Arabidopsis thaliana: one gene and its partners. The protein of the gene in region 3 interacts with the protein of the main gene of each other region in a pairwise test. Each region holds a gene or a part of one and is shown on either strand. Other genes may lie near its edges. The genes, in order: PTR4, AT3G08930, AT1G68220 and AT1G05640.

Region 1 (7,306 bases), on a different chromosome or scaffold from region 3:
TTTCTTCGACGATTTCGTTAGGTATATGGATCTTCTCAAACTCTTTTCTTCTTCGTTTGATTTCTTTTCTTGCGGACAAAGAAACTTATTTGATCGTAAGGAGTTTCTCCATCGATTTCTTCTGACTCTTGTGAAATTCAATGTGCGCTGAATTTATAAGTTCTGTTTCCATATTTTCTTTGTAACCGTCATAAAGAGTGGCTGGAATCAACGTGAATTATGATGTATATATCTATATAGTTTAATGTTTCTTTGTTATTTTTTTATTTGAGAATTGTTTTCCGTTATTATCCATGGCTCAAAGCCTCAAACTTTTAAGATTAAAATAACTACAAAATTGTTAGAACAAATCTCTAATTGGAATAATGTAATTCATTTACATAGTAAATAATACTAAGATTTGCCTAGATTAACTCAAATCTTAGATTGACGTAAATAACTTCTGAATCCAAGAACTATAATAATTCAAAATTTAACTAAATTCCCCTAAAATAAAATAAAAACAAATTTGTGAGTGATTATTTTGGCGATTATCGTCTTTCTCTCTCTTCTCCTTACGTTGGTGTCGGTTCATGTTTTTCGCCGGATATCTCATCTTGTTGGCCGCGAGAACTGGTTTTGCCACTCATTACACCATTGGTTGGGTTGTCCAAAATCTGTCGTGACGAAACTGACCAAACAGTCTCCCGGCTCAATTCATTATGGGACCTATGGCAAAACCCAAAATAAAATAAAATTTCTTAGTAAATTTTTTTTTTTGAAATATTGGGGCCTTTTAGTCTTAACAATTTTTTTGAAATTAGTTAGTAACCCTAGGCATTTGCCTACCTTGCCACCCCCAGAGACGGGCCTGTCTCGAACAAATCACGATCCGTCGTCAAGCAAGATTAACATAACTTGTTGTGACCATCATCACCATGAAGAAGCAGATCTTGTCGCAAACATCATGGGCACCATCACCAACGTATGTTGCATCAAACATACGACCAGTGCGTTGTTCTCTTCTCTCTTGGTGCGGTTTAATCATTTCATAGTAACTGCCATGTCTCTCTTTCATAAAATTTTCTTATGGTTTCCATTACAATGGAGCCGATTTCTTTGCCTCCTTCTCTTCATGGGAACGGTAAATTTCTATTTCGATGCCGGTGTGGAGAAGTTGTTCGACGGATCCGCTAAGCATCTTTTATGTCTGTGATGGGAACATCCCATTGCGATGTCAATTTGGCAATACATTGCCAATCTTCGATTGACTCTGGTGCGCTTCCTAGTGAACCGTTGCAAGAGGTTTTAGCCGAAGATCAAATGAGGCTCGTAGCGACTCTTCCTCACAACTGGTGCTTCGGTCGACGAATATGGGTTCCGGGAATATTATGTCTTCGAAGATTTGACAAATTGGCGCAAGAGAAAATGAAAACTAATGGATTGAATCCGTTAGTGAGTCTTGTAAAAGGAAAATCCATAGTCATTAACCGGTGCAGAGCGTTTCAAAAAGCATGATTCAGAACCATTTCGAGCAACTTACCAAATTCTTCGTTTTATTAAAGTAATGCAGAAAGCATTTAGGAGTTTCATCTATAAGATGTTAGCTTTTTGCGAGTGTATGATGAGAGGACTTAACAGATTTATTTTGTTGCCTGTAAGGCTTCCGTTTCGAAAGCAGGGTCACTTACACTTCTTCATCAAAATTGTGTTCAATTTCCTTTATTTGTTTCAATAGTTATATTTGAATGGTTGTTGTATGTATCATGTAAACCGTTATGATTTAATATAACTGATTTGCTGGTTTAAAAAAAAACAATTTTGAAAGTACACACAAGAGCCAGAAGAAGAGATCAAACCTTCATATGAGTATATTTCACAGAGAAGAAGACAAAAACAGGTATGTTAACAGATCCAAGACTGACCAAAAGCCAGAAGAAGTAATCAAGATGTCCATTGTTAATGTTGTCTGAAGGAATCCAACAATCTTTTCCGCTCAAATACGCCACAAGGGTAATGATCAACGAGCTCAAGTAGTTTCCTAGTGTAGTAGTGAGAAGAGCCCAAGCACTACACAAGCTTCTCATTGAATCTGGAGATTGCTCATAGAAAAACTCAATCCTCCCAACAAAGAAGAAAACTCCAGCAGTGCCCATTAAAAAGTACTGAGGGATTTGCCAAAAGATGTTTAATGGAACAATGTCTCCACTTTCCACTAGATCAAGATCTCTAGCTAACTGTAACCGAACCGTCTCAACGATAGCTGCAAATGTCAAGCTCAAAACAGAGACAAAAAGACCAATCCCCATTCTTTGTAGCTCGGTGAATCCTTTAGCTAAGCCTGTGAACCGTCTCACTAAGGGAACGATGACGCGGTCATAGATTGGGACAGATATGAGAACACTTGCAGTGTCGAACATCCCGAGAGTTGCGGGAGGGATTTCGAATAAGCCGATGGTTCGTTTCATGCACCGTCCTTGTTGAACAAAGAGAGTGTAAATCTGTGAATGGAGAACTGAGAAGATGATTCCTGAGGCCCAAATGGGGACCAAACGTAACAGAATCTTAACTTCTTCGACTTGAGTCACGGTACATAGCTTCCACGGGTTAGTGTTTGCATCTCCTTCTGATATAATTGCCGCTTTGTCAAGAAACCTGTACATTGATATCACAACCCGTTTATTTAACCGTTAATAGACTAATGCTCAATTCAAACAAGAAATGAGAGGGAAAAAGATTTTCTTGTAACCGTCCGTGGAGTCTTCAGGGACCTTGAGATTCGATTTACGGTATGCGGCTACAAGAACTTGGCAGACGCTAGTAATCGGGCTACCTCTCGGTTTCTGAAATCTATAAAGCGGCGTGCCAAAGAAGAAACTCATAGTAGCAAGTCCCATGAACACGGTAGGTATCAAGAATCCTAATTCCCATCCATAATTCTCTTGAATCCAAACTAGAACAGTAGATGAAACAAAAGCACCAATGTTGATAGTGAAGTAAAACCAGTTAAAGAAAGAAGCTTTTCTGACTCGTTCGCTTGGATCGGTCTTATCAAACTGATCAGCACCAAAGGATGAGACACATGGTTTGATTCCTCCAGTGCCAAGAGCGATAAGGTAAAGCCCTGAAAATAAAACCGTAGACTGAACCATTGTTGCTGGTGGACATAGAGAGCCAATGCATTCCGCTGGCTTAAGACCCGGAACTGAAGCTGAGAGTGTCAATGCAACCATTCCCTTAAAACAACATCAAAGAACAGAACATCAAGCCAAGAACAGAACATAAAGCAAAGTTATTTTTCAAGAAAATGCTTACGGTGAAATAAATGGCAGAGAAACAAGCAATAGTCCAATATCTTCCCCAGTAAGCATCAGCTATTAAAGCTCCAATAAGAGGAGTGATGTAACATGTTCCTTGCCATGTCATGACGTGTCTAGCAGCAGAAACATTAGTCTCATGCAATTCATTTGTGAAGTACGTGATGAGATTCTTGGCAATTCCATAATAAGCCAACCGTTCGCAGCATTCGTTTGCTGCACCAACCAAAGCATAGATATCAGTTTTTGGAGATTAAAGACAGAACATGAGAGAATACAACAAGTACATTACAAGTGAAATAAAACAAAGTGTTTACCAAAAATGAATGGACAAGCTTTCCAGTTTCCTGTTGTCTGCTTCAATGGTGGGTTTCCATGAATATCTATTGAACCATCTTCAGCATATAATTTTACTTCTTCCTGGAGAAAAACGAATTAGTCAACAAAGATTTAGACCCCAAAACACTAAAGAAACAATGACAATGAGGTTGAACCTGTATAAGAGATTCTTCAACTTCAAGAAGTGACCTTTCTTCATCAATGGAAGCCATTTTTTACTTTCTCCTCAACATGACAATTTTCACGTAAAGCTGATTTAAGCTTCTCAACGAAGGATCAAATAAAATGATCCTCCCACTGACCAAGTTGTTGTTGGTGGTGTGAGTGGTCACTCACCACAGAACCACATTCTTTAAAAAATGTTATAAAAAAAAAGAGGGAATATAAAACCACACAAACTTTATTAATCTGATTAGACTTAAGCATTAAGCAAATTTTGAGCCATAGCACACTTTTCCCCTAACACAACAAAAGTTATCAAACAAGTTAGAGACTTCAAGTTTTAAAGAAGACATCAAACAAATCTTACGAAACCTTTCTAGCCAAACCGGTAAATTAACAAAGCCAAGACAGACCAAAAGCCAAAAATAGTAATCAAGATGACCGTTACTAAGGTTCATTGTCGTGAAATATGCAACAAGTGTAAGAATCAATGAGCCGAGTGAAGAGTCCAAGCACTACACAAATTTTGCATCTAGAGATTGTTCATAGAAAAAATCAAGCCGACTAAGAAAGAACAAAACGCTAGATGTTCCCAATAAAGATATATTGAGGGATATGCCAAAAAATGCTCATTGGAACAGTGTTACCACTATCAACCAGATCGTTGGATTACTCTTGTCTCTCTCGAAGTCGAGAAGTTGGTGGCGGTGACCACTGGACCATAAAATGTGTTCTTGTTAACAACACGTTTTAAGAAATTGCAAAATTGAGTGGACCTATTGGGCTTTAAATATTAGTGGGTTTCCTAATTTGTACTTGTTGGGCCAATTTTATGACCTCCACAACTTGGATATAAAATATTTGGTAAGGAATTAAGTAAATAAATACTATTTTATTTTTTGAAGCACCAAATGCAATTTATGGTGTTAATAAAGTTTTATGATAATAATTAATTAATGCAAAATAAAAATAGTTTTGGGGTAAATTGATTTTTTTTTTTTGGGAGACCAACAGTCTTCAACCTCAAAAACGAGAAGCTCTAGTAAATCATGATCGTTTTGTAATTTATTGGTTTACCAATTGATTTTAGTGATATAGTTTTCGAACCGCTTAAATGATTAATAAATAAATAAATTAAATTATGGATTGGTGATTTTGTCTCTAAATAAAAATGTTGAATATGAAAGGAATAGTTTTGAATTGTCCTTAATAATTTAACGTTGAACTATTGAATAGTCAATAATTCGGTCGCTAATAGTTGACTAGTACAAACAAAACCGAACAGAGCATGTATTAATTGGCCATTTCAAAATTCGTGTTGCAATAATTAAGGAAAGTCAGAACTTTAGAGAAGTAAACCGGTGGCGGTTACCCATAATTGCCGGTTCGGCGAGTGGCGTCTCGGTCTCCATTTGCCGGTTCCCATTGACTAACGCGTTAGAGAGTGACTGATGGGTCGACTTTTGACTTTTACTATTTTTCTTCTTTTGTTTCTTACTGCCAGTTATGCCCCATTCCCTGCCTCTTAATTACGTATGAGTGCCACTCACAAATATTTTTATTTCTGAAAATCATTTGGGGGAGACAAAAAAAAACAAGATATAACAAACCTGTTGTTTTACTTTTGTTACTGACAAGTCCTTCAGTCAAAAAATAAAAACAAGATAGATAAAGAAAATGAAAACTGTATTTAATAATATCCTGAATAGTCAAAATAGAATTGTCTATAAAATCTGATTTTTTAAAAAATATAAACATATATGATGAAGTATTCTTGTTTCATGTATCCATTCGAAAATATAAGTAAATCCTATGTACAATTGAAAAAAAAAAAAAAAAGGTAATCTAGAAACAATGCTGATCAAGCTGTAGTATTCAACGTAATTAACCCAAGCTAGGGCTAGTGGATTCTAGTTTTCAACAAAATTAACCCAAGCTAGGGCTATTCTAAAGCTAGTCTAAACATGTGGGAGGTTTGATAAATCGCCTAACTTTATTTGTTTAATTAGGTCAGACCATGGGTTTGATGTTTATTTGAATTTTTATACTTTAGAGATGGTAATATGAGATCTTACAACAAAAAGTCAATGTCCTTTAGTGGTGATACCAATATAAGTTCGAATTTGGTTTCTAGCTTATTGGTATAAATTCCATTGACAGCAAAAAGGAATCACGAAAACAATATAATCTAGTACTATATTCACATTTTACGCGTAACGCGTTTGTAATATTCACATAATTATGTAAGTGTGAAATTGATCAAATCGCGGGAGATGCTAAATAAACAAAATCAAAATCACTAATAAAATGTTCACGATAACTTAGAAAGATCCAATAAAAAGATGACGGTCGGAATTTGTATACGATAGTAATAAAAGTATTCGTGTTTCTAAAAGTTAGTAATTCATTGGTCTAAATATTATAATGAGGAAAAGTCATTGGTAAGGAAAAGGTTTGAAAAAGGAGCACATAAATAAGGACCAGCGATGCTTCCTTTCACGATGCAAAACACGAAATGAAGAGACACATTCTCTCTACTATATATACCATTTGCTCCTCTTCCTCTAATTCCACACATTCTTCTTCAACTACAAAACAAAAACACTACTACACATTCTTTCCTCTTGTTCATTTCAAACCCAAAAATCAAAGTTCGAAGTTGAAAGAAGACATGGTTTTGTCTAAGACAGTTTCCGAATCTGATGTCTCAATCCATTCAACTTTTGCTTCTCGTTACGTCCGCAACTCTCTTCCACGGTAACAACTTGTAACACAAATCTTTTGTCTAATGTTTTCGTCAACAATAGTAACATGTAATGATGTAAACCTTGGATAGTTTTTTTTTTGGCCGTGGTTAATGTTGTAGATTTATTATGTGTTATATACTATAAGGAAGGACATGTTTCGTTATTTTAACTTAATGTATCATCATTTCATCATTAGATTCGAAATGCCTGAGAACTCAATCCCAAAAGAAGCAGCTTACCAAATCATCAACGACGAGCTAATGCTCGATGGTAACCCAAGGCTGAACCTAGCTTCCTTCGTGACCACATGGATGGAGCCAGAATGTGACAAGCTCATGATGGAGTCCATCAACAAGAACTACGTCGACATGGACGAGTACCCTGTCACCACTGAGCTTCAGAACCGATGTGTTAACATGATAGCACGTCTCTTCAACGCGCCGCTTGGTGACGGTGAAGCTGCCGTTGGTGTTGGCACCGTCGGATCGTCGGAGGCGATTATGTTGGCCGGTTTGGCTTTTAAGAGACAATGGCAGAATAAGCGTAAGGCCCAAGGGCTTCCTTATGATAAGCCCAATATCGTAACCGGTGCTAATGTCCAGGTAAACCAAAACAAAAATTGATGAAATATTAACCAAGACAAAATTGAATTTATCAATCCGGTTAAGTTATATGTGTGACTCAATTTCCGGTTCAATACAGGTTTGCTGGGAGAAATTCGCAAGGTATTTCGAAGTGGAGCTTAAGGAAGTGAACCTAAGA
Region 2 (9,324 bases), on a different chromosome or scaffold from region 3:
TGTCTCGAATCAGAGGATGAAGATCTCAAGGTCACTGCACGCTGGACTCAAGGAATGATCGCAAGACTCGTGCTCTAATCATAAATTTAAAGGCTTTTCCATCATCACTACTCGTGCGTCTCTCTCTCTCTGTCGTCATTGTTTTGAGTAAAGGTTTCAAAGAATAGTTGCGGGTCTTCCTCTTTGCTCTGTCTAATGATGTTGGGATAGTGGTTAAGGGGGGTTTTGGGAAATTGTTTTGGGGCTATCTCTGTTTTGATGCTGCGTCTTATTTTTTACTCTGTAGAAGAAAAACAAAATCTTTTCTTTTTTTTTGGTGAATGGAATTATCCACTTATCGGTGGTCACTTTTTGAGTCAACTTTATGATTCTATGTTTCTTAACGTGAACAATTTCGACAGAATTTAGCAAACGATTAATTTGATGTAAAGGCTCATCATAACTCCGATGATCTACGTAAACACAAACTGCGAGGTATAAGAAATTCCGTTTATACAAAAGGTGCCAAATTTTCTTTAAAATAACGACGTTACATCATTACATGACACCAGTAGAAGCTAAAAGCCACCACATCATTACATGACACCAGTAGAAGCTAAAAGCCACCACATCAGGAGGAAGAGAAGGTATCGATAATGGTGGTGTGAAGTGGGTCACTAAGGTGAGTCGCCCAGTTGTTGAGCGGTCCTTTACCGGTTGCAGCCGCCTGAACCGCAAAACCCAAGAATCCAACCATGGCTAAACGAGCATGTTTGATCTCAGCTAGCTGAAGCTGAGCCTTCTTCACCGGGTCAGACGCTAGTCCTAACGGGTCAAAGAACTTGCCTCCTGGATACAAACGCTTCTCCGAGTCCAGTTCAGCGTTTCGTTGGAACTCAATGTAGCCGATCACTAACACTTCGATCCATATCAATGTCGAGATAGAGAACGGCAATGGCTGTCCTAAGTAAGATGATCCATCCACTAGCTCTACCTGGTAAATTAAAAATAAAACAATCAGACAGATGTCGAAACGCTAAACACAAACGCAAAAGTGACGAAAAGAAAAGAGGCGATACCTTGCCGGCGTCTTGCCAAGTAACACCGGTGAGCCATTCGACGGTGATAGCGCCAAGAGTGGCGAGCATTGCCCACCGACCGTGAATCAGCTCACATTCTCTGAATCTTTGTAGCCCGAAGACTTCACTATATGGCTGAAACGGCGTCGATTTGGGGTCCACCGCCTCGGTACGAGTCCCGATCACTTCTCCGTATAAGTTCTTGGCTAAGTTCTGGTCCAAGGAATCCAAATCGAATTGGAGATACTCCGCCGGTTTGCCTAAACCAAAAGGATCGAACCCGTAGTCCCCGACAAGTGAACCGTCGAGATATTCGGGTGATTTTGCGCCTGGGAACCATAGAGGCCGGTCTGAGATAACCGTCTTAGCCTTTTTGGGAGATGCTTTCTTGGTTCCGAATCCGAACCGGGCTGTGAACCGGCTTGAATTGGAGCTAATGTCGGAAACCACCCGGGTACCCATGATTGAAGAAGCAGCAGCGGCGGTTGAAGTGGCGGCCATCTCCGGCGTCGTTAGTTAGTTCTGTCGCGTTTGCGGTTTGTAACTTATCTGAAGCAAATGGCGTTTTTAAGTGGCGGTATGTGTGTGGGAGAGATCTCAGAGAACGAATCTTGACGGTTAGATGGAGAAACAAATCCATCTGACGGTAGGAAACAAAATCAGCCTTATCTATAAAAAGCTCGCGTTATCTATCCTGTCTGTCTTTTAGAGTTAGATGAGGCAAGCAAGCTGATTGGGCAAAAGAAGCTATTGACGAATCGCATAGCAACGCCACTTGTCACTTCAGCAGCACATGTCCACTTGTATAGTTGTATGCCTTGCATACTAAACAAATTCAAGAATATTGATAATCCGGTTAGGTTCGGTTACAATTGTCTCAAACCACAAAGGAAGTCTCTGTCTTGTAAAAATTCGAAGAAGGCTTCTCATTAAGAAAATATGATTACATGATCGCATCCGAGACAGTACAATAGACCAAGACAGGACAGCTAACTGTTGCGCAACCAAACAGCACACTCACAAGAAATTTAATAATACATTCAGGAAAATAAACCTCAGAAGCAGAGTCTCTAGATACTTCTGGAATCGATGATGATCCAGAAACAAGTAGAAACTTTGTCGACAGCACTCAATCAGATCCCCGTGAAAACGTTTTACATTAAGAAGAGAGCTGGAAACGGCCACTAGTTTTTTTTCTTCTCCATCCCTGCCAAAACACCAAAGACCATATGATTCTACAAATACTTAATACAGAAGAGAAAACCCGAGGAGTAACATCAACGAGGACTTACAAAGGCAATGTAATATAGGAAAGTCAGTCCAGCCAGGATAACAAACCCGATTTGGAACACATTGTACCTGAAATATAAAACCTCAATAAGACGCATCACGGATATAGCATATGACTGCTATATGTTATACCACTTCTACTTACTTGTAAAGGTACTTAATTCCTCTAAGGGACTGCAATGTGTGGCCAAATATCTCCTGGGCAGCAGTGGCTTGAGCGTAATATCCAAATGCAGTGGCACAAAATTGAATCACGCTGCATTTTAAATGAACCACATTACTCAGACTGTGAGGATTAACATGTAATTGTGAGGGTAGCAGCTGTATATTAAAAGTCTTGGTTTGACATCTAATAGAGTACAAAGGATACCCAAGTGCATGAGTAAAGTAACTATAAACTTCGATTCAGGCATTCGCCGGAAAGGAAATTAGTTTTAGTGATGGCATGAAAACACTGATAAGTTAATGTATGCACATAAACATGCTTGATCTAGATCCGTTTATCAGAGTGCACTTGATCCCAACAGATACAAAGGCAGAAGAAGAGACCAGAGAGACTTACCTGATTGAACAAAGAAGAATGAGGCCGACATTGAAGAGGAAAGAGTTCATTAGAGTAGCTCCCCATCTGAAATAAGTTGATATGGCCAATCAGCAATCAAGAGAAGGTAATGAATGACCTTGGAAAATAGCCAAATAATGTTGAAACCGGTTAGATGGATTACTTCATTGGATGAATGGTAATGAAGACCAGCTTCAAACCCAGCATCATTGCCCCAGCGATAACAGCAAGTAGAAGGTAGAAACAGAAGAAAGCAAAGGCAGCAGTGCCTAAAAGACCTGGAGATTTCCACACGTACCAGCATGGAGTCAGTTAGAAACAAAGAAGAAACCTTATACAGGATAACAAGGACAAAAGTATGAACTTACCCCAAACATCATCAAGCTTAATGAAAACCTCGTTAAGAAAAGGGGAGAGAGGAGGGTCGACGAGTAGATATATGATGATGTGTGCAACCCAAGCAATGGAAACGATCAATCTACAAAGACATTAAAAATTTGCCATTTAAAAAGACGCTTAGCTCGGGAGCTTAAGAGTGCAAACCTAAATATGCAAGAACTGTATGCATTATGCATGATTTATACAACATGTAACAAAAAAAAATGCAAAGGAGGTTTCTGCTTAGATGTACTAACCCTACGATTCCAAGAATAAACTTGGCCAAGTATCCGAGCACAGTGAAAGCCCATGCAGTTTCTGCCTGGAAAAAGGTACCAGGGAATAAAATAGTTGAACAAGAAAAATATTATAGTATAAGTTCTAAGATACACTCGTCTTACCTGCTCTCCTTGAGGATACATCTCTTCTAAGAGGTTCACATCTTCCTCCAATTGGAGCAACTCCTGCAGGGTTACCACATTCAATTATAGGATTGAGGGGACACAGCTTAAATCCACAACCAAGCAAAGAAAAGCTACCAATAAAGTCAATAACCAATTCTACTATCTCACTAGCTTTTCACTACAAGTTGTCATTCTCATAACTCCACAGACGACCAAAGCCTCTTTACACACAAGGGACCAGTATGAATAGGCAAACTTTCCAAGTTGCTACTTATGAAACAAAATTTAGATAAGATACTGAACCTTGAGATATATGAGGTACCTTTTCAACTGCTTTCACATTTTTCCGCCATTTCCTGCCCTTAGCACCACTTCTTTCTTCCTGATGAAGTCCATCAGCTGCTTTCTTTAGTTCTCTTGCCTTTTTACCTAGTTCGGTTGCCTCCTGTAATATATTTATGGAGTTAATCATGCAAGAGACAGAGGGATTGACTCAAGATCTAGAGAGATGCTTCCAGAGGAGAACAATAACCAGACCTTTATATATTGTGATCGAGTGATAACAGCCTTTGGTCGCCTGATGAATGCAGTGATAAGTCCTAATGGTAGACATGCAATACCAACACCACCAAATATCTAGAAATATTTGAGAGAACAATTAGTTATCAGATTTTTTTTACTGAAATGTATAAATCAAACATCTATTTACTTCAATGGATACAGAATTATATCTTGCCATGCATCTCATCTGTTGAGAGTTTGTGTTAGTCAATGAAGAATCAACAATATAAGACAGATTAAATCCTTTCAAAGCAAACAATGCACTTCTCAACATGAAAGAACAATGGTCATACCGTGAAAAGAACTGACCCAACAATTGTCGCAAGAGCAACAACATATTCTGGAAAAGTAGTACGCATAGTCCATGTTTTCTCAGATGTGGGATTAGCTGTAAATGCTGAGCACTGCATTGATAGCCAGAGACAGGAATATGTTAAATGCTGAAACTCTCTACGGCATAAATGACTCATGATATAAAAACTAATGCTAATGCTACATTCAAGAGGCAAACATACCTGGCGAGCAGTGTTACCTATGCATGGTTGAGTATTTGAAAACTGCCAGGAAGTAGGGAAAGTGGATGTGGCAGAAGCCAAATGCCTGACCGAGAAGTCCACCTTTCCAATGACACCTACATGATGAAGATGTTACCAATAATGTTAAGGTATTCCTAGCATATAAATGGATAAGATAGATATCTCAACCCAAGCCCTGATTGGGTAATTTAAAAGCCAAAATTAACATAAGAATGCAGTCAAATCATAGAGACCAACATCAGATTCATCCTTGCCACATGCTCACTAATGGATTCAATAACCACTCCAGCTAAACAAGTATAACCTCCAGACTATCGTCATTCGTCAATACAGAAAGACGCTGAATTTCAAGTCGACAAAAGAATTGAAAACAGAGGAACAACTAACCATATAAAATTCCAAGCACCAGAGCACAAACAACAGCCGTGGTAACTACCCAAATTAAGGCACTTTTTATCCTCTTTCCAAGAGTCCTGTGAAAAAACGAAAGAAAAAAAGCCCACAAATTGTCATCAGTATTCGATTAACTCAAAACTTACAACATAGAGATACTAAAATTTCATCAAGCTACGAACTTGTCCTGGTCGCCTTCATAGAAAAACATTGCGAAGGGGATGACAAAGAACACGAGAATAGCGTCCACGATATAAATAGCAAGCCAAAGATCCTTCATGGGCAAGGTGAGATTGCAAGCTCCATTGTATATAGCATGTCGACAAGCATGCCGATTGGCCACATCAGCCGGTAACATGAGAATCGAGATCATAGCAATAGAAAGGCCAAAAACAACGACGAATTTGGGGAAATAAGCCTGGTTTGCATCATCTGGATGCTGATAGTTGACGAGAAGATAGATGCTAGAGATGAATACGATGACGCAAACAACGATCGCGACAATCACGAGAGCGAGGTTGAAATCGCCCATCGTGTGCAATGTACAACGTCCCCAATTCGAGAGATTTCGATCCCGGAACGATTTGGAAGATGTAGCACCCAATTGCAAAGGCTAGGGTTTTCTAGGAGTTCAAATTTTGAAAATTGAATTTGGGGATTTTAGTAGATCTGGATTTCTTTCTTTTTTTCCCTCTCGAAAACCAGACGAGGGAAGAAGAAAGAGGACTGGGAGAGGATGAACATTCTTGTAAATTACGAAGCTACCCTCAACAATGTGCTCTCGTGCCTAATGGCTTTGGGTGTAAACGTAAATTGTTACTAGGTTTGGAGATTAGCTGTCCGAAGCAAATGATTCGGACAAAATATTTCAACTAATGAAAGACATCTGTAAGTAATAAACCAGTGACCAATTGTGTAAACCGGACACAATTTTAAAAACAAAAAATGTCTTCACACTTGGCTCCAAAAAACCAATTTAACGACTCTTCTGGCCAAAAGACGGTAACAGTACAAGTAGTTTGAGTAAATAAAATGATACACCTCCTATCGTGGCGAACCGAAGCTCTTCGGTCCCTTCGATCTCTGGAAAATCTCCCTCGGATACTCGGTTAAACCCTCCGGTTAACCACCCTAAGCTTTTGTACCCTTCTCCGTGGAGCTTTGATACAGCCGCCAACGACCTGAGAATGAGATTGAAAAGCAACACCATTTATAACAACCAAACCGAACCAAAGAGTTCAGTTTAATTTATACTATCCAAACCAAAAGATTCTATGATCAAATCGATTGATTAATAGTTTATTTAGTTTGATAAGTTTCTCTAAAATCTGGACTAAAACTGGCAATGATTAACCAAAATGCAACATATAAAGCTGGTACCTGAGTCCTTCACCGCACACGACGAGCACTTTACTCTCTTTGTCCGGGACAGCCTCCACAACACGGAGGGCGAATTCGTCATTGATCATGGTGAATCTCTGGCCCGTCCAAAGCCCAATATATCCCAAATGAATCCATTTCTTCAGCAACGTGATCGGCCCATTGTCTGGATCTTCCACGAACAGTGGCACGTGTAAGGAACCTTTCACGCGTGCCTTTTCTCTTTCCCAAGCCGGCCTCACGTCTAACAGTATATATCCCTCCGACGCCACAACCGCATTGGCTTCTTTGGGCTCCACCGCCCGTACCTTGCCGGAAAGTATCAGCTCTTTACCGGAAACGGCGGAGATCACTGGTAATCTGTATGATTGTCGGAGGCGTCGGTTTAGTACTACTGGTAGCTTGTGGATATGGTTTAGCTGAGGAAGAAGAACTGTCATCTTTAATTCTTTTGGATTTTCAGAGGAATTTAACCAATGATATTGTTCTTCAGATTTTTCATTTTAAGAACACCCCAAAACTTCTTACTTATTTCCATTTTAGGCCCTCAGATATTTCATAATTTGACTATCACCCTCGCTTAAAGTAAAGTAACAAACATATACTAGTGGGGTCAAATGTTAAATAATAAATATATAGGGCTACTAAGTGTAAATTTCCTCTCTTTGAAACGACACCGTGATTCTTAATTCTGATAAGGTTTGACTTTTGAGCTAGGTTTGCCGAACCAAAAACAGAACCGGTAAAGACCAAATAAAAGAACCGGTCGGGTATTTCTTGTATCTCGATAAATATTTCGAACCGGTACGGAATGATCCGCTAGAGTTTTTCCCATTGAAGAAGATCGAGTGAAATTCGAAGAGCGAATCAAAGAGGAAGAAGAAGAAGGAGGAGGTATAGCAATGGGGGTCGATTATTACAAGGTTCTTCAGGTGGATCGGAATGCGAAAGACGACGACTTGAAGAAAGCTTATCGCAAACTCGCCATGAAGTGGCATCCAGACAAGAACCCTAACAACAAAAAAGACGCCGAAGCCAAATTCAAGCAGATCTCCGAAGCTTACGATGTAAATTAACAAAATGCGTTTTCTCTTTTCAGAGAGATTCCCATCTTTTGCTTGAATTTGAGCAATTGTGTAGTTTGTCAATTCACTATGGTTACTTCTCTGGCAATTAAGTAATCTTGATTTGCTTGTAGAATTGTGTTTGATAGATTCCTTATGCTGTTGGATTTTGTAAGGTTTTGAGTGATCCTCAAAAGAGAGCCATCTATGATCAATATGGAGAAGAAGGTCTAACAAGCCAGGCTCCGCCTCCCGGAGCAGGCGGCGGGTTTTCGGATGGAGGGGCTTCGTTCCGGTTCAACGGTAGAAGCGCAGATGATATCTTCTCGGAGTTCTTTGGCTTCACAAGACCATTTGGTGACTCACGTGGTGCAGGTCCCTCTAATGGGTTCCGGTTCGCGGAAGACGTTTTCTCGTCAAATGTTGTTCCACCGAGGAAAGCTGCCCCTATTGAGAGACAACTTCCTTGTAGTTTGGAAGATCTCTACAAAGGAGTCAGTAAGAAGATGAAGATCTCTCGGGACGTCCTCGATTCAAGCGGGTCAGTTTTTTTTCAGCTACATTGTCATGAATTGAGTTTAAGAATCACCTTCTTATGGATTTAGTTCCAAAACATTGATTTGCTTAGGAATTTTTACCTTAAGGAGCTTTGGAGCTGGATAAATACATGAAAGATGTAGTGCTAGAAATTAGTCATTAGCCATTGGATAGATTATGTTGGACTCATTAGAGTTGTTTTTTTTGTAGCTATGATGTTGTTGTTATCGGTAATGCAAGTTGAAAGTGTATTCTTTGTTGCAATGCAGGAGACCCACAACAGTTGAGGAGATCTTGACGATAGAAATCAAGCCAGGGTGGAAGAAAGGGACGAAGATTACCTTCCCGGAGAAAGGAAACGAGCAGCGAGGAATCATACCATCAGATCTTGTATTCATAGTTGATGAGAAGCCACATGCGGTGTTCAAGCGAGACGGGAATGACCTTGTGATGACACAGAAGATCCCTCTTGTGGAAGCCCTCACGGGATACACTGCTCAGGTCTCGACTCTGGATGGAAGATCAGTAACGGTTCCAATTAACAACGTGATCAGCCCTTCTTATGAAGAGGTGGTGAAAGGTGAAGGCATGCCAATCCCTAAAGACCCATCAAAGAAAGGGAACTTGAGAATCAAGTTCACTGTTAAGTTCCCATCGAGGCTAACAACAGAGCAGAAATCTGGAATCAAACGAATGTTTTCGTCTTCCTAGTCTGTCTCTTTCTATCTTACTGCTACGTTTGATTTTCGGTTATGACTAGGTATGTGGTAGTGTGGGTCTTTGTTTGGGAGATTGTGAGGTTCTTGAACGATGTCGCATTGAGATTTCTCAACGTCCTTCAGAGCTTTTGGTTTGGGTTTGGGGTTTTACATTTTAGCATTTTTTTTTTTTTCGTTCTTTTAAATTTGTTATTAGATTGGGGGAAAAATAAAAAACTAAATAAAGATTCTTTGCTTCTTTAGTTTGTTTAGAGCTTTCAAATTTTCTAAATACATACAAGGAAAAAAATGTATGTGGCACTATGCCACTATGGCACCAGCTCCTGCATTCTTTTCTATTTCAGTTCAACTAAAACAATTCCTAAAATTATTTTGATAAAAAAAACATATTAATAAAACTTTTCATGTTTTGTTCTAACAAATCTTCTACAAACAGACGACG
Region 3 (6,733 bases):
ATATTTTGGAGATTTGTTTTTCTGAAGATTCAAAAAATTGATTAGAAGACTCTGATTAGCAACTTAAAACAATTTGAACTATCTAACAAATAAATGGTAAACAGTTACGGAATAATGCAAAGATGTAAAATAGAGAAGCAGTAAGCAAAAGTGATAAACAAAAATCCAAACAAAAAACCAAGAGGTATATATTAACTTAATTTGGTTTACGGAAAAAAAATACATGAATAGAGACAAGAAAATAGATGAGTCTCGATGAGTCTTTCTAGTAAGAAATCAAGAGCTGATTGCATGTGAAGCAACATCCCTAGTGACCTTGACGAAGCCAAAGAGGTACCTAATATATTTTTATTTTCTTTTATCACCAAAGAGGTGCGAGGTGCCTAATAATGAAACGAATATCTGTTGAATATATCCCTGATATAAAGTTAGACCTCAAAATTGCAAAATTTTAGACTAATAAATCGTTGTAACGTGAGTTATGCTAACTCTTACAAAACTTTCTACTAAGGTTTGAGGAAGATGTAATGGTATCAAAACCCAGTCAAGCTTCGTAGCAGAATGGCAAATATCGAATAACATTTTCATTGCACAAGAATATTTCATAGAGTTTAGAGAAACCAATCATGCTTAAAATAGTGATAGCCAGTAATAACATATTTTAGAAAAGACTATTCTAATCACAACGAGTCACCTTCAATAAAGAACGAAAATCTAATGATCAATACCCATTGAATCCTGAATTCCTTGATGAACAATCATGATTACATGAACAAAGACTTATTTTAAGTTTTAATAATGTGTAACAATATGTGCAGATTTGGAAGATTGATATACATAAAAGTTACATAGTCCTTCTAGTTTTAGCTTGAGCTTTAGGGATCTTGTTAATGACTTTGGAGTTGAATTTGTTTAGGAGCTTCTTCATGTCCCTCCCACTTTTACTTGCTGCATAAGTCAGCTCTTCTTCGTATTGCTCATACAACATCGGTATTGTCTCCAAACCCACAAATACTTCACCAAAACACCAAAAATGTTTGTAATTAAAGCCATACTTAAAAAGAAAGGCTTTTACCAAAAAGAAAGGCTTTTACCAAAAAGAAAAAGTTTTGGAAAATGTAGAGTGTTAATCAGTAAATGTGTTAGATAACCTCATTAAGACTCACCGATGTATAATAGAGTTAGAGAGCTGAAATAGTTTCCAACCACTGATAATATCCATAGGGAAACAACGGCCTAAAACGAAACGAGACACAAGTTATAAAATCAAAACAATCTTGGTATGAAATAATTAAAATGAAATTGTGTGTATTGATTTATACCAGAAAAAGGAGTCTGAAGTCTTTGCCACTTGAAATATCATACAATTTGATGATGAACCAGTTTATCTTGTTGAACAAGAATCTCCAATTCGATTCCGAAATCCTTAGATCATTAATACTCGGAGGTTTACTGCGCAAAATAACATTTCTTGAGAGCTTGGTTGATTGATTCATAAAGAAGTATATCTCAAGTAGTGTTAATGTTTTTCTTACCTCTGGATTAGTTGTGAGGAGCCAATGTAAGACCAAATGAGGAATATGAAAATGAATAGTAAGAGGATCTGGCAGAGGAAAGTGATGAAAGGATATTCAACCACTTCGAACAAGAACCATATCAATGTGAATACCCCCAAGATTGTTCCTGATTCTTTCTTGTTCTTCCAGAACATTATATCAGCAACTACAAGCATTTCAAGAGAAAAATCCTTTAGAAAAAGAACCAAAATTAATGTGAAAACGGAAAGAAAAATATATGTTACATCGTCCTCCTCCTAGATTGTGGTACAAAGATCTTCGTCGTCTCGATGAAGAAGCTCTATGTTCATCCATTTCATATCCAAAAACCGCCATTTTGTTTTGGTTTCAGGTTTTGAAACAACTGTGGCCTTTTTTGTGAGCTAAGGTCTAAGATTCATGGTTTATTATATAGTTCCGAACTTTTAGGATAAGAACGGTTTTGTTCTTGGATTCATAAAGAAGAAAGCGATTTGAGAAAAAACAGGAAAGGTATGGCTTTAGCATATTGCAAAAACTCATCATTTTATTGCTACATGAATAAATTAGTTTTATATCTTGTAGAGAATCTTTCTTAACTTGAGTTAATGATCAAAAATGTATTCCAAAAAGTTATCAACATTTTGATCATAGCTAAACCCTTTCCCATGCAAGTATATTCCAAGTTGAGGCTAGATATGTTAGGAATGCAATCATTGGGCCTCTTCGTAGGCCCAGTCCATTATGTGCCCATATTGTTTTCATGTCTAAACTTTTAGCAGATGATAACAATCTAGATGAGGTCAAGTGGGAAGCTAAGATGATGACTGAGCCAAACCAAATTTCTCATAGACATACATAAGCCAACATTATATCTGACGACACAAGTTTATATTGACAATTAACAAACAACTATTTTTTTTATAGTTTTACCCTGTTTTTAAAAGCATAGCCAACATAAGACCAAACAGAAACTGGTTTAGACCTTGTTAAACTCGGTGTTTTGTTGCTTTGGAGCATCTGAAGGAGTGGTCATACCAATGTTAATGCCATCGTTCTGATGCTTCTCCCATCCGCCAGTATCAGCCTTAGAATGAGCCAAGTAGTAAAGAATGGTTGCAATCAAAGACATGAGAGTGAAAGCAGCTCCAGCAGCAAAGACTCCAACGGGTAAGACGGCACACGAAAGCTCTTTCCCTTTGTAAATGCCTTCACTTTTAGTGTGGTACGCGTTCCTCGCTGATCCACCCAACAAGCACGCCTCAGCTCCTAAAAAGCTTACCCTAAAGATACACAAAACCAATGACTAAGACAAACGTACTCAAACATAGAGATGAACTAACTAGTTCTTATTCTTGTAAGGTCGTTTCTTTTCTTATAGAATCCACATAGTTTGGTAAGATAACAAACTGTAAAACCAAACATATAGAATATTCAATTGTGACCATGACGAAGCCTACCACTATCATTGTCTTTAGATAGAGACATCCACAACTCACAAGTAAGAGTTAAGGACGTAAATAAGAAGTCAAGTTTGCAACAAAGTGACTTATTAATCATAAATCACATAACCAAATTTCAATACCCACTAATCTAAAAGTGTTTACTTTTCATGTTCACAATACTGAAAAGAGTTGGAAAAAACTTTCCTTTTCACTTCAAAGTTAAAACCCATAAATATACACAATCAAATCACAAATTAGTTCATTCCAAATCTAACTTAAAAGCCCCTAATCAGAAATTTCAAATTTTGGTTACCAAATACCACTTAAATCAACTCAATTTCAAATCTTGATGTACAAAAGATTCAATTAGAGAGTAAAGGAATAAACTTTACCAAGAAACAACGAAGAAGACAATAGCCCAGACAGTGTAAGAAGTACCAGTAACAAGACCCTTTCCAAAACAGAGACACTTAGTAACACCGTTAACCACCGCTTGGCTAACAAGAAGCAACCCAAACGCCGACATACCGTACACTGTCGACGCCTCAGTTCCGTACTTACAAATAGTCTTCTCATCGTACTGATCCGGAACCGGCACAGCCTGAATAAACAAGAAAACACGAATTCACAACACAAATCGGAAAAATGACAAATTTTAGTAAGAGAGAGATAAATTGGGTACGGTGCTACGGCGACGCTCGGCACCGAAGGCGAAGACGAAAGCAAGGAGGTGAAGAGCAGTGACGACGGTGAGGATTGAAACTGAAACCGCCATTGATTTGGTTTTCGTGCTTCTTTCTCTCTTTACTCTTTTGTCTTTTATCTTCAGAGAGCTTTGGGCAAGTGAAGAAACGTTAAAGTGTCCTTATAACACTGATATTTGTTTTCTCTTTTTCTCTTTTTTTAGAATTTTGAACACTAATATTTATGACTTAATTGTCAAAGTGTCTCCATCTAATCATTATATCTGGTTACTCTTTTTTTATTTTTTGGATGTGGTTTACAAATGTTTAGTGGAGAAATTTTGAGAGATATTTGATTAAGAGTAAGTAATTAAATGGGTATATTTATACATATTGTAGCTTTAAGTGGTAGCACAACCACCAGCTCAAGCATCAGAACAACAAGAAATCGACTTTGCACGCTCCATCCTTTGCCTTCAAACCCCGAAATCATGATTAGATTTAGAAACATAGTTGGAAGACGACCTTGCTAAAAATCAAAGACTCAGTAATTTGTCATTAAATTACTACGACGTAACAAAAAATAATATGATGTCAATTGAGACAAAACATATCTTTTAATTTTAGAGAGCACATGAAGTCATGCCAATGCTTCTTTGACAGATATGATGCCTTGTTCGTGGTTATCTATAGTAAATAATATTTGTTGACAAAAATATATTTCAATGATAATAGTTATAATGACAATTGACTATAATTTTGGAAGTAAAGTAGTAAACTATTATTTAAAAAAAATAAAAAATTAGATTTAGGATCAATACTAGAGCATCTACTACTTGGTCATAAGTTTTATTAGAACTGATTTTAATAGAAATACTAACTTTGGTCAAATTAAAAGTGTTTGACTACATTTTAATTAAAGACTGAGAAACAAATTAACAAAAAAAGAAAACTTATGGTACGATTAAGAACCTGAAAAACTTTTAGAATCTCATACATATTGTTTATGATTAACATACATCTATATTTATGATATGAATATGCATTATACAAAAACATATTAAATTTATAAACTACTTTTAATCTTGTTGTTCTCCTTTTTCACCATTATTCATACATCTTTATTCATCTCTTCGTTAATCCAATCCATGCATTCACGATAATCATCAAAGTTATCGTCTATCTTCATATCATCACTTTGATTCACAGATTCTATATTATGATATTCGCATGACTCCATCATATTATTTTCCTCAGAAAAACCATTGTCTTCTAACCAAGAGAATATATCCTTCTCATTGGCATCAATGTCAAAAGAAATCAGATCTTCAATCGAAATATCGTAAAGAGCATCGTTCATCTCTTCCATATTGGTTTCCAAAGGAACCATATTATCCAAAGCATCGTAACTTGTTTCACAAGAAACCAAACTCTTTTGGATGGTATTGGTTTCGAGTGAAGTTATATCTTCAGGGAAAACCCAATCTAACGGATTTGAATAATTGGTTTCTAGAATGGCCATATTAGTTTTGGGAGGGATTTCACTATGTATTTCACAAGAAACAAAGCCCACATTATTTGTATTAGTTTCTTCTTGAGGGGGAATACTTCCTCCAGAATAACCCATGCCCATATGGTTTATATCTACTTCAGAGGGAATCATATTTTCAAAAGGAACATAACCTACTTGTGAAGAAACCCAACCTATCTCGTTTGTATGTTTTTCAGGAAAATTTATGTTCATGTTGGTTTCAGGAAGAACGTAATTTGCTGTTGAAGGATCCCAATCCATATGGTTCATATTGATATCATGGTGACTAAGGTTTTCTATAAATGAAACCCAATCCATCTTGTCTATATCGGTATCCAAAAGGTTCATGGTAGGGTTTGGAAGAAATCTATTGTTTTCCTTCATAAGGCACTCATCTACTAGAGGATCGAAAGAATCTAGTATAGAAGTAAAATCTAAATCTATTTGGTTTACATCAGTTTCAAGGATGGATCTATGTGGGTGACATTGATTAGGATCATACTGCGGAATAGAAATCCTTTCGGATTCCATCTGAGATGTGCATGTGTTAGATGCACCATCATTCGATGGTAAACCATAAAGGATAGGAGAATTTTCACTACTTAAGCCAGTTGAAACTAAACCAGTATAGCTAGAGCTATCGATACTAGAGCTATCGATAGAAAGAATATTGTAAGCTGGATTATTACTTATGGTTGAAGGAACGAAGTTAACATTCATAGATAGCTTGTTAAGGACGTTACCATGAACTGAATGATTGCTTAGATCTAATTTCCCGCCTATATGAAACTTTGGCATTGTTTCCTCTTTCTCACCAATAGGTTTTTTAAACAAAACTGCATTAAAAAAAAATTGTTAATACTTATATGACACAAATTGTAACACCGTGAAAATCTATATAATAGAATAATACTTACATTGAGTGATAGAGGCTGATGCAGAGTTTTTCTTTTCTAAAGAATTCCACAAGGAATTACTTACAATGAGATTATTTGTTAAGTCTGATATTTTGAAAGGATATTTGTAGTTCGAAGGATATTCGAATGTTTTATCTATCGATCTCGATTCATTTCTTGGCAATGTATAGCTTATTTGGTCAATTTGAGCCTTGTATTTCTGAAATTCATAGAATAAAAATATTAGTATAAAGCTATAATAAGAAGACAAACATATTTCTATGTTAAAAATATATATATTTTATATATGAACCTGAAGGTGGCTACCGACTTGACGATGAGTTAAGTTTGGGTCATTCATAATCTCTAATATGGATTTTGGACGAAAATCTGCAAGGTAAAAGAGAGTAAAAAACTAGTATACTAAACTTGAATAAATAAAAACGAATTGGTCAATGTGAAATATAAATCTTACCTTCTTCACCCAAAATGGAGATAGCAGCTATAAACTTCATGTGACGCTCACTATTCCACAAACTCTTACGTCTTCCAACACTTTTCTTCCATTCCTTTCTCTTATTCTCAATCTCAATAGCATAACTTGGTGTAGTTTTCCATTCAACATTTGCAATACTTTTTCTCT
Region 4 (7,846 bases), about 24 Mb from region 3:
CAATCACATTTTTCGATTGATGGTCTTTTCCCGAGGACAAAATCTAAGTAACGCTGCAGCTGGTATGGTGCCGTACCTGTTTTTGTCTTGCTCACTTGGCTTTTCCACATATTTATTTTGGCTGCTTTATTCTTCTGGTTTGCCATGGGCCCTCTCTCTTGCAGCTGGTGTCTCAACTTCAGCTTATACAACAAAGAGTAACACTGTATGTTCTTATCATATCACCTTTACTCCTGAGTTTATGTTGTTTGCTCCTTAAATTTGTATTTAACATGTTTCTCTGTTTTCCAGATTCCAAGCACCGGCGCTGAAGAAATCAAGTCTGATCTTGCAGCAGCAGACATGGTCGCATTTTTTGGCGATTTCAACTATAGACTGTTTGGTATAACCTATGATGAAGCAAGGGACTTCATTTCACAGCGATCCTTCGATTGGCTCAGAGAAAGAGACCAACTTAGAGCAGAGATGAAGGTTGGAAAAGTCTTCCAAGGAATGCGCGAGGCATTAATCACTTTCCCTCCCACTTACAAATTTGAAAGGAATCGCTCAGGCCTTGGAGGTAAAAGTGGATTTGATACATAAGATATGAATTTGAAAAAATTGAAGCAGTTTTGCTCTGCTCTGTTCTCTGCATTTTTTCCTCTGTTTTGTAAGAGATGGTGGCTCCAAAAAAACTGAATCTTTCTGTGCTGTGTACTCTCCAGGATATGATTCAGGGGAGAAAAAGCGAATTCCTGCGTGGTGTGACCGAGTTATATATAGAGACACTCAATCTAGCCCATTCTCTGAGAGCAATTTGCAATGCCCTGTAGTTTCATCAGTCATAATGTATGGTTTCATGACGACCTTTCTGATGTTTCTCGCTTTTTCCGGTCTCTTCAATGTGTTTTCTCCATTCTAACTTCCCACCTGCGTGTTTCAACAGGTATGAAGCTTGCATGGATGTTACTGAGAGCGATCACAAACCCGTGCGCTGCAAATTTCATGCGACAATAGCTCATGTTGATAAATCTGTGCGGAGACAGGAACTGGGGAAAATAATAAGGTCTAATGAGAAGATTTTATCCATATTCGAAGATTTAAGATTTGTTCCAGAAACTTCTGTGAGCACCAACAACATTGTTCTTCAGAGTCAGGACACAGTCATCCTAACAATCACAAACAATTCACCCACGAGCCAAGCCATATTTAACATTCTGTGCGGTGGCCAGGCTGTAGTTAAGGATGACGGAGAAGATGCTGACTACAATCCACGAGGCTCCTTTGGTCTACCACGCTGGCTCGAGGTATTAAATTCTCTTTTGACGCCAAATGAAGATTCTTGTAGTATTCAAGATTTAGTGATATACAAGAATTTTTTTCTTTTAGGTTTCTCCCGCAGCAGGGATAATAAATCCAGAAGGATCCGTAGACGTTAAAGTTCATCACGAAGATTTTTACTCAATGGAGGAATATGTTGATGGCATCCCACAGAATTGGTGGTGCGAAGACACTCGAGATAAAGAAGCAATCCTGATGGTGAACATTCGAGGAAGCTGCTCAACAACATTGAGAAGCCACTCTGTCAAAGTCCGTCACTGCTTCTCAGCCAGAGTATGTCTCCTTGAGAACAGACCCACGAACCTAACAAAGAACTTAGGTGGTTCACGTCGTTACCCAACAGATATTACCCGTAATGGAAGCACTAGACCAAGAACTGAAGACTCGGTTAGACGAGGTAAAAGCCGGTGATGAGCTCTTGTGACTTTGACAGTTTTAACTAGATCTTAGAGCAGAAGAACAACAAAGTCATCACAAGACAAATGCATCAGGTGAAGAATCGCTTTTATTCATTCGTTGATTCTTTAGAAAATTCATTTTGTGTCAGAAATTGTAGATTTGCTTTGAGACTGTTCCTCAGGTAGCATGTATTCAACTTTTGTATCTCCTCACTTGAATCTAAACTACAGGTACGTGACCCATGTATACATTTGTTACTCTTACACTAAATTGCCTGTTCTGGAGATTTTAGTCTCAGAGTGCATACATTCTCTTGTTGAATTCGCCGTTGAGAATCTCTGACTCTGAAGGCATATGAGATAGTGAGAAAGATTTCGATTTGCTTCTCTCTTTCCTTAAGCTTTTCAGTTTAGATTCCTCGATCCTATGCATGACCACACAGTAACACATTGCACCTATCGTGGTTAGCATAATCGTCCCGCCAATAATCGTTGCACAAATCGCCAGCCAAATGTCCTCCTTACCCACAACGATAAACGAAAGAGAAACAAAGGCTACGGATATGAACAAACAAGCCAACCACATGAGCTTGTTGATCACAAACACAAGATTCTTCTTTGCCTTCTGCTCAATCACCACAACTGAAGTCTGCACCACAACAACAGCCAAAGATATGAACAGCGCCAAGCTGTCAAATATGAAGAAGACTAAAAACGGGGCTTTGCCGGCTATGCGGGCTTCTCCTAATAACAACAGTCCCTTTGTTCTGTCTTCTTCATATTGCCCAGGAATGGTGAAGATTGCTGCAAATGCAACTGTTGCAATTAGGACAGCCACAACGGTTGCAGAGTTTATAGCGTTGTTTAAACCATTGATGTGAAGCTTCTTCAGTCTCTTTGCGATTCTCCGCACCCTAACACCCGTTTGGCGAGACTGTTGGAGCTGAGACTGTACCTCGTGTTTAATGTCACTGACCGTTTGGTTAAGTTGCTTAGCCGGGTTTCGAGGCTTCCCAAGATCTTTAGCTGTTGCAGCTCCTGCTTCCTTCAGAACCGACACAAGCTCTGGATTTCCAATCTTTTCGGCTATATCAAGTGCAGTATCTCCAGCCTTATTCATAGCATTAAGGTTAATTCCATCAAATGATACCAAACATCTCACTATCTGCAAGCAAAGGCAAAATGCAGTTCATCAGAATTCTTGTAGATTGAGAAACTGAGGGGAGGGGGAATTAGCGATGATGATACCTTAATACGGCCTTTGTTTGTGGCAGTGTGCAACGGCGTATTCCCTTTACTATCCTCAACACTCAAAATCGCAGGATCAGGTTTCACCAACTCAAGAACAATCCCTTCGTTCTGACCTTTGACAGCCATGTGAAGCGCTGTTTGTCCCTTCTTATCAGTTCTAAACCCGATGCTTGCATCATTACCTATCAAAGACTTAACCACTTCTCTGTGCCCCATTCGCGCTGCAGAATGAAGTGCGGTTTTACCATTGTTCTTAGCTATCTTAGCTAAATGAGAATCCGTCTTTAAAAGAAGATTCACCACATCAGTGTGTCCTTGTGAAGCAGCCGTGTGCAATGCAGTTGTACACGATAGATCCACCGTCATAGCCAGATTCGGAAATGTCTCCAACAATTTCTTCAATGCCTCTGCAAAAGACAGCACACATTCAAAGATATATGTCAAGAAGGTGTACAACAATAACAAGGTCTTCAAGTTATTATCAGATTCTCTAAAGTTTCATTTACCAATATGGCCTTGTTTTGCAGCGACATGGAAAGGATCAAAACCGTTGCGAGCTTTAACTGATGCAGTATCAAGATCCATATGTTTCAACATCTCTTCAACAACTAATGAATGCCCATTTTCTGCTGCACTATAAAGAGGGGTCTCTCCTTCTAGATTCTGCTTTGATGACAACTCCTTCAACTCTTCAATGCCGTTACAAGCTCGAATCAATTCCATAACCTTTCCCAAATTCCCCGTTCGAGCTGCGAGATGAAGAGGAGAATCTCCTCTTTTACCAGGTGAGTCAGTCTTCTTCTTCCTCTCACCACCAACATTCATGAAACTTAACTGTCTCTCCATTACTACCCTAAAGCTTTTCTGCTTCTCAACAAACCCACGAAAGCTTCTCTGCCTCTCCATTGCCCTCTCCTGTTTCTCCATTGCTCTTCCTTTGATTCCATGTTTCTCAACAACATTCACAGCTAGGAAACTAACTTGCTTGTCCAAAGCTCTTCCCTTTCTCACCTGATTCTCTGCACCAACGCATCTGAGACTCTGCTGTTCCTCCACAGAGTTACCTCGAACGCTCTCTTGCTTCTCCATAACAGGAACCAGAGAACTCATGGTATGCTTCTCCCTTAGATTACACAAAGATCTTGAATAACAACTTTTTCTCCCAAATCTGAAAGATGCCAACTTTGTTTGAAGAATCCGTGAGCTCTTTTCCAGCAACCCGTGTTTCGTAATAACAGAACCAGCTTGAAAATGGAAAACCCTGACTTCCCTGTGATTTCCAGATTTCTTGTAAAGATTCAAACCGATGTGATGAAAGAAGAGAGAGAAAAAAAAAAAAGGTTGCAGCTGATTTCAGTAGAGTGTAGCTGAAACCCAATAGATTGATTTGTAAATCTCAATGCTTTTTGTGGGCAAATCATGTAAGATTCTCAGGATATAGAGATAGAGAGAGAGACTGTGATGAGTGACTGCATCTTCAGCTGTTTTCTTTATTAATTTCGCTAAACTTCCAAAATCTTTAGTAATATTAGTGATTACTTTTTCTTTTGAGTTTTGAAGCAACAAATTCTTAATTACTATGTCAATTATCTCCAGTTTAAAACTTTATATCCAGTTAAAGCTTCTTTTCTCTAATTTCTTTATATTTTTGTTGTCCAAATCAAAGACCAAAAAGCAAAAGCACAATGTGATGGTGACAACAAGTCAAAGTCTTCCACTTTGTTGGTTACTGAAAATAATATTTTATTAATAAAAAAAAAAAAATTGTATGTTACAGAAATTGGTGATCATATACCTTGTTACAGAAAACTATTTGAAAAATCAGTTTCCTAATAACATTTCACAGTGATATCATCTTAACCCCAAATAAATTCATCGATTTAGACAACTAGTAGGTTGAATAACACCAAGATTTTTCCCAACAGCATTGAAGCACAAGGAAGTAGCAGGAGTTCCTTTGTTGTAAGTAAGCTTTATGTCTTGTAATGTGATTCCCGTGCATGGATTGCTCTTGCTACACACCAGCTTCATTGCTTCCTGCGTCGCCGAAGTTCCTTGTATGTTCTTGTACGTCACTTGGGTTATCTTCACCCCCGAATGCTAATACATACCATAAACATAATAAATCTTTAGTTATTTGACTAAGTTGATAATTTGATATAGCATATTTGATTAGTCTGAAATTGATCAAAAATATGATATGGATATACCTCAGTAGGGCAACCTTGGTTGGACGGACAATAGTTTTGGTCGATTATGATAGGGTTTTGGACGTTCCTCATGATTAGATTTTGAAAGAAGACGTTTCTAACGAATCCGGTACTCGGCCTCGCCCATGACTTTATCCTCACGCCGTTTTGTGATCCGGTGAATACCGAACTCGATACTGTCACGTTCTCTACTCCGTCTTCGTTTAACTGCTTTGCCAAACTCCCGATGCTGCCAGTCATCACATCATCATATGAGTTGTGACCAGAGTGAGTGAAGGCAATATTGCTAGTTTTTTTTTTGTTGGAAATTCATGATTCCTAACAATTAATGATATATTTACATAATTTACTCTAAGGAATTAGACGGTGGTGTATACCTAACCCCGTGACCTGGGCCACAAGCAAGCTTGGAAATTAGGAAGTTGCGGGTCCCCTGACCGATAGCAACACAATCGTCTCCGGTCTGAACGGTGCTTCCGGTTAATGTGACTCCAGTGGAGAACTGAACGGTGAAGCCGTCAGTGTTTGGGCTGTCTCCGGGAGCCACCAGCCTAATGTTACGGACGGCCACATTGGTGCAACCGTTGAGGGTCATATGGCTAACCTGGCTGTTCATCGATTTCACTCCACTTATGATCACGTCTTTTGCGGAGTTGAACGATATTGACTACAGTAATTAATATATAAACGCCATAGATTAATAATAAGATTATAAATATTTCATTTTATTTTGACCAAAGAATCCATTTCCTTGTCCAAAAATCATTATCATAATAGTTATTATATGCTTATAAAATAAATTCCTAAAAATGGCATGGATAGATCATATTGAAAATTAAATGTGCCTGAATTAATATAGTTGAAAACTATCAACTAATTCCTTTTTTTTTTTAATCGTAAGTAAATGATTGGAATAAAGATATGTTATTTGACTATTAAAAAAAATATATTGACTTATTTAGTTATTACTAATCAATAATGATTAAAGCTATTTGTTGCTCTTTTGCATTCTGGTGGCGCTTATGTATGAATGTCAGATTGTTGTTTTTATTTACAATAACTATAGATAGAGGAGAAGCATATGTACCCTAACACCGGGAGGACAATTCTGGCCAGATTTCCGGCAAGACCAGAACCCACTACCTCGAGCGTCAAAAGTCCCACCGACCAGTGAGAATCTGTTAACCTTGTTGAAGAGAATCCAGGAACCGGAATTGCCAAAGGTCCTATAATCTTCCGGAGCAACGACGGTTCCGGTCACTTGAAATGTGATTTTGCTCTTGCATGGCCCTCCAAACGTTATTACCTTCAACAAAAATGTCCCCGTGGGGACCACCACCGTGGCTGATGCTGCCGAGCCACAAGCCCCTTGCCATGCCTTTAGGAATGCTGCTGTGGAATCGGTGACTCCGTCTGGTTTGGCCCCGAAGCTCACGACGTTGAAAACAATGGAGGCGCTGCTCGAGACATCGATGAAGGTGAGAAGTGTGAAGATAAGTGGAAATGTTATAGCTGATTTTGTCATTTTTTATATGTGAGTTTGAGTTTATGTTTGTGTTTGTGTTTGTGTTTGTGTTTGAATTGATTTGATTTGATGCATGGGTATATATAGGGAGAGAGAGCATAATTATTTTGGTTCGTTATTGGAGTCTATGGTACAATTAAGTACATGTGATATCTATATGATAAGAGGTTGTGAATATTTTATGATTGATAAAAGAGTTTACATTTCCAATCATTAGGTGCACACATGGTTGATATCGTACTTTTAGGAGCAACGGTCGTTGTATGAACGATGACATTTTTGCACATTATCAATTTCCCATATAACATGGGCCATATACGTATGTGTATATGTATTATATTCTTGGTACATGTTGTTTTTATATATTGATGAACAAAATAAATACGTGGAAACCCACTCAGCGATTGATTAGAACATAAACCGTATATAACGTTAATTCTATAGAGAACCAACAATACTAAATGAAGAAAACTATCATTTGTGCATAAATAGAAACTCAGCCATAAACTAAGAGAAAGAAACTCAACCAAAACCCCTATAGAGTGCAGAGTTGATTTTTTTTTTTTTTTTTGTTATCGACACAAAATTTACAAACTCCTGAAAGAACTACCATAAAAATAGGAATTCTTTATAAAAAAAATAGTAGTAACAAAATTAAATGAATAATATCTATCCTAATCTTTAGAGTATTCTTTTTATCAATAAAGTATTACTTTTCTCCAAGAAGGTAAAATGATCATGGAACAAAATCCTTAAAAACTTTAATTTTATCAAAATTTCAACAAAGAGAAGAACAATATAATCCATTAAAAGAACAATTTGTCATCTGCCATTTCCTTGCAGCTATATGCAAAACTTATGTTTTGGAAGTATTAGGAACACTTTCAGAACCAAGATTTTCTGATCGAAGGCCAATATAAACAAACATTAAGTAGTTGAGCAAATCTTACAATCTTTCGATTTGTACATATATGCACATTACGGGTGAATGTTGTTATAGTTAGCCATTTTATACTCTCTTTTTTTTTAACGACCATATACAAAACGGTAATATTGTGAAATTAAATTTAAAATGTAGGTAAAAAGTGATCAAAATATGTATAAATGACGACATCACCTCATTTTTATATGAGATGACATGT

What was found.
Region 1: the proteins of AT1G68220 (region 3) and PTR4 interact in a protein complementation assay, tested with the Arabidopsis thaliana proteins (one large-scale study listed by BioGRID).
Region 2: the proteins of AT1G68220 (region 3) and AT3G08930 interact in a protein complementation assay, tested with the Arabidopsis thaliana proteins (one large-scale study listed by BioGRID).
Region 4: the proteins of AT1G68220 (region 3) and AT1G05640 interact in a protein complementation assay, tested with the Arabidopsis thaliana proteins (one large-scale study listed by BioGRID).

Annotation. Positions count from the first base shown.
Region 1 is NC_003071.7:475,658-482,963, reverse strand, and holds PTR4 (Major facilitator superfamily protein), read right to left. Parts: upstream 3,988-7,306; 5' UTR 3,848-3,987; coding exon 3,791-3,847; intron 3,717-3,790; coding exon 3,614-3,716; intron 3,513-3,613; coding exon 3,295-3,512; intron 3,216-3,294; coding exon 2,729-3,215; intron 2,635-2,728; coding exon of another isoform or gene 2,606-2,634; coding exon 1,833-2,605; 3' UTR 1,779-1,832; downstream 1-1,778. Other genes in the region: AT2G02030 (F-box family protein), read right to left, coding at 1-68, 559-629; AT2G02026 (uncharacterized protein), read right to left, coding at 878-1,057; AT2G02023 (uncharacterized protein), read left to right, coding at 1,186-1,497; GAD4 (glutamate decarboxylase 4), read left to right, coding at 6,313-6,554, 6,741-7,146, 7,247-7,306.
Region 2 is NC_003074.8:2,709,952-2,719,275, reverse strand, and holds AT3G08930 (LMBR1-like membrane protein), read right to left. Parts: upstream 5,965-9,324; 5' UTR 5,715-5,964; coding exon 5,365-5,714; intron 5,263-5,364; coding exon 5,177-5,262; intron 4,885-5,176; coding exon 4,769-4,884; intron 4,658-4,768; coding exon 4,547-4,657; intron 4,329-4,546; coding exon 4,230-4,328; intron 4,138-4,229; coding exon 4,015-4,137; intron 3,753-4,014; coding exon 3,690-3,752; intron 3,611-3,689; coding exon 3,546-3,610; intron 3,389-3,545; coding exon 3,279-3,388; intron 3,189-3,278; coding exon 3,074-3,188; intron 2,977-3,073; coding exon 2,911-2,976; intron 2,605-2,910; coding exon 2,494-2,604; intron 2,418-2,493; coding exon 2,351-2,417; intron 2,266-2,350; coding exon 2,218-2,265; 3' UTR 1,910-2,217; downstream 1-1,909. Other genes in the region: LHCB4.2 (light harvesting complex photosystem II), read right to left, coding at 611-973, 1,059-1,559; AT3G08920 (Rhodanese/Cell cycle control phosphatase superfamily protein), read right to left, coding at 6,159-6,363, 6,563-7,002; AT3G08910 (DNAJ heat shock family protein), read left to right, coding at 7,465-7,629, 7,803-8,167, 8,433-8,874.
Region 3 is NC_003070.9:25,567,344-25,574,076, reverse strand, and holds AT1G68220 (aerobic coproporphyrinogen-III oxidase (DUF1218)), read right to left. Parts: upstream 3,986-6,733; 5' UTR 3,756-3,985; coding exon 3,663-3,755; intron 3,582-3,662; coding exon 3,373-3,581; intron 2,819-3,372; coding exon 2,515-2,818; 3' UTR 2,344-2,514; downstream 1-2,343. Other genes in the region: AT1G68230 (Reticulon family protein), read right to left, coding at 845-1,014, 1,167-1,236, 1,323-1,452, 1,536-1,722, 1,802-1,892; APRR6 (pseudo-response regulator 6), read right to left, coding at 4,775-6,030, 6,112-6,310, 6,404-6,480, 6,566-6,733.
Region 4 is NC_003070.9:1,685,423-1,693,268, forward strand, and holds AT1G05640 (Ankyrin repeat family protein), read right to left. Parts: upstream 4,534-7,846; 5' UTR 4,080-4,533; coding exon 3,476-4,079; intron 3,377-3,475; coding exon 2,967-3,376; intron 2,884-2,966; coding exon 2,014-2,883; downstream 1-2,013. Other genes in the region: 5PTASE13 (Endonuclease/exonuclease/phosphatase family protein), read left to right, coding at 1-205, 292-559, 705-828, 926-1,286, 1,369-1,731; AT1G05650 (Pectin lyase-like superfamily protein), read right to left, coding at 4,842-5,069, 5,180-5,408, 5,557-5,846, 6,267-6,704.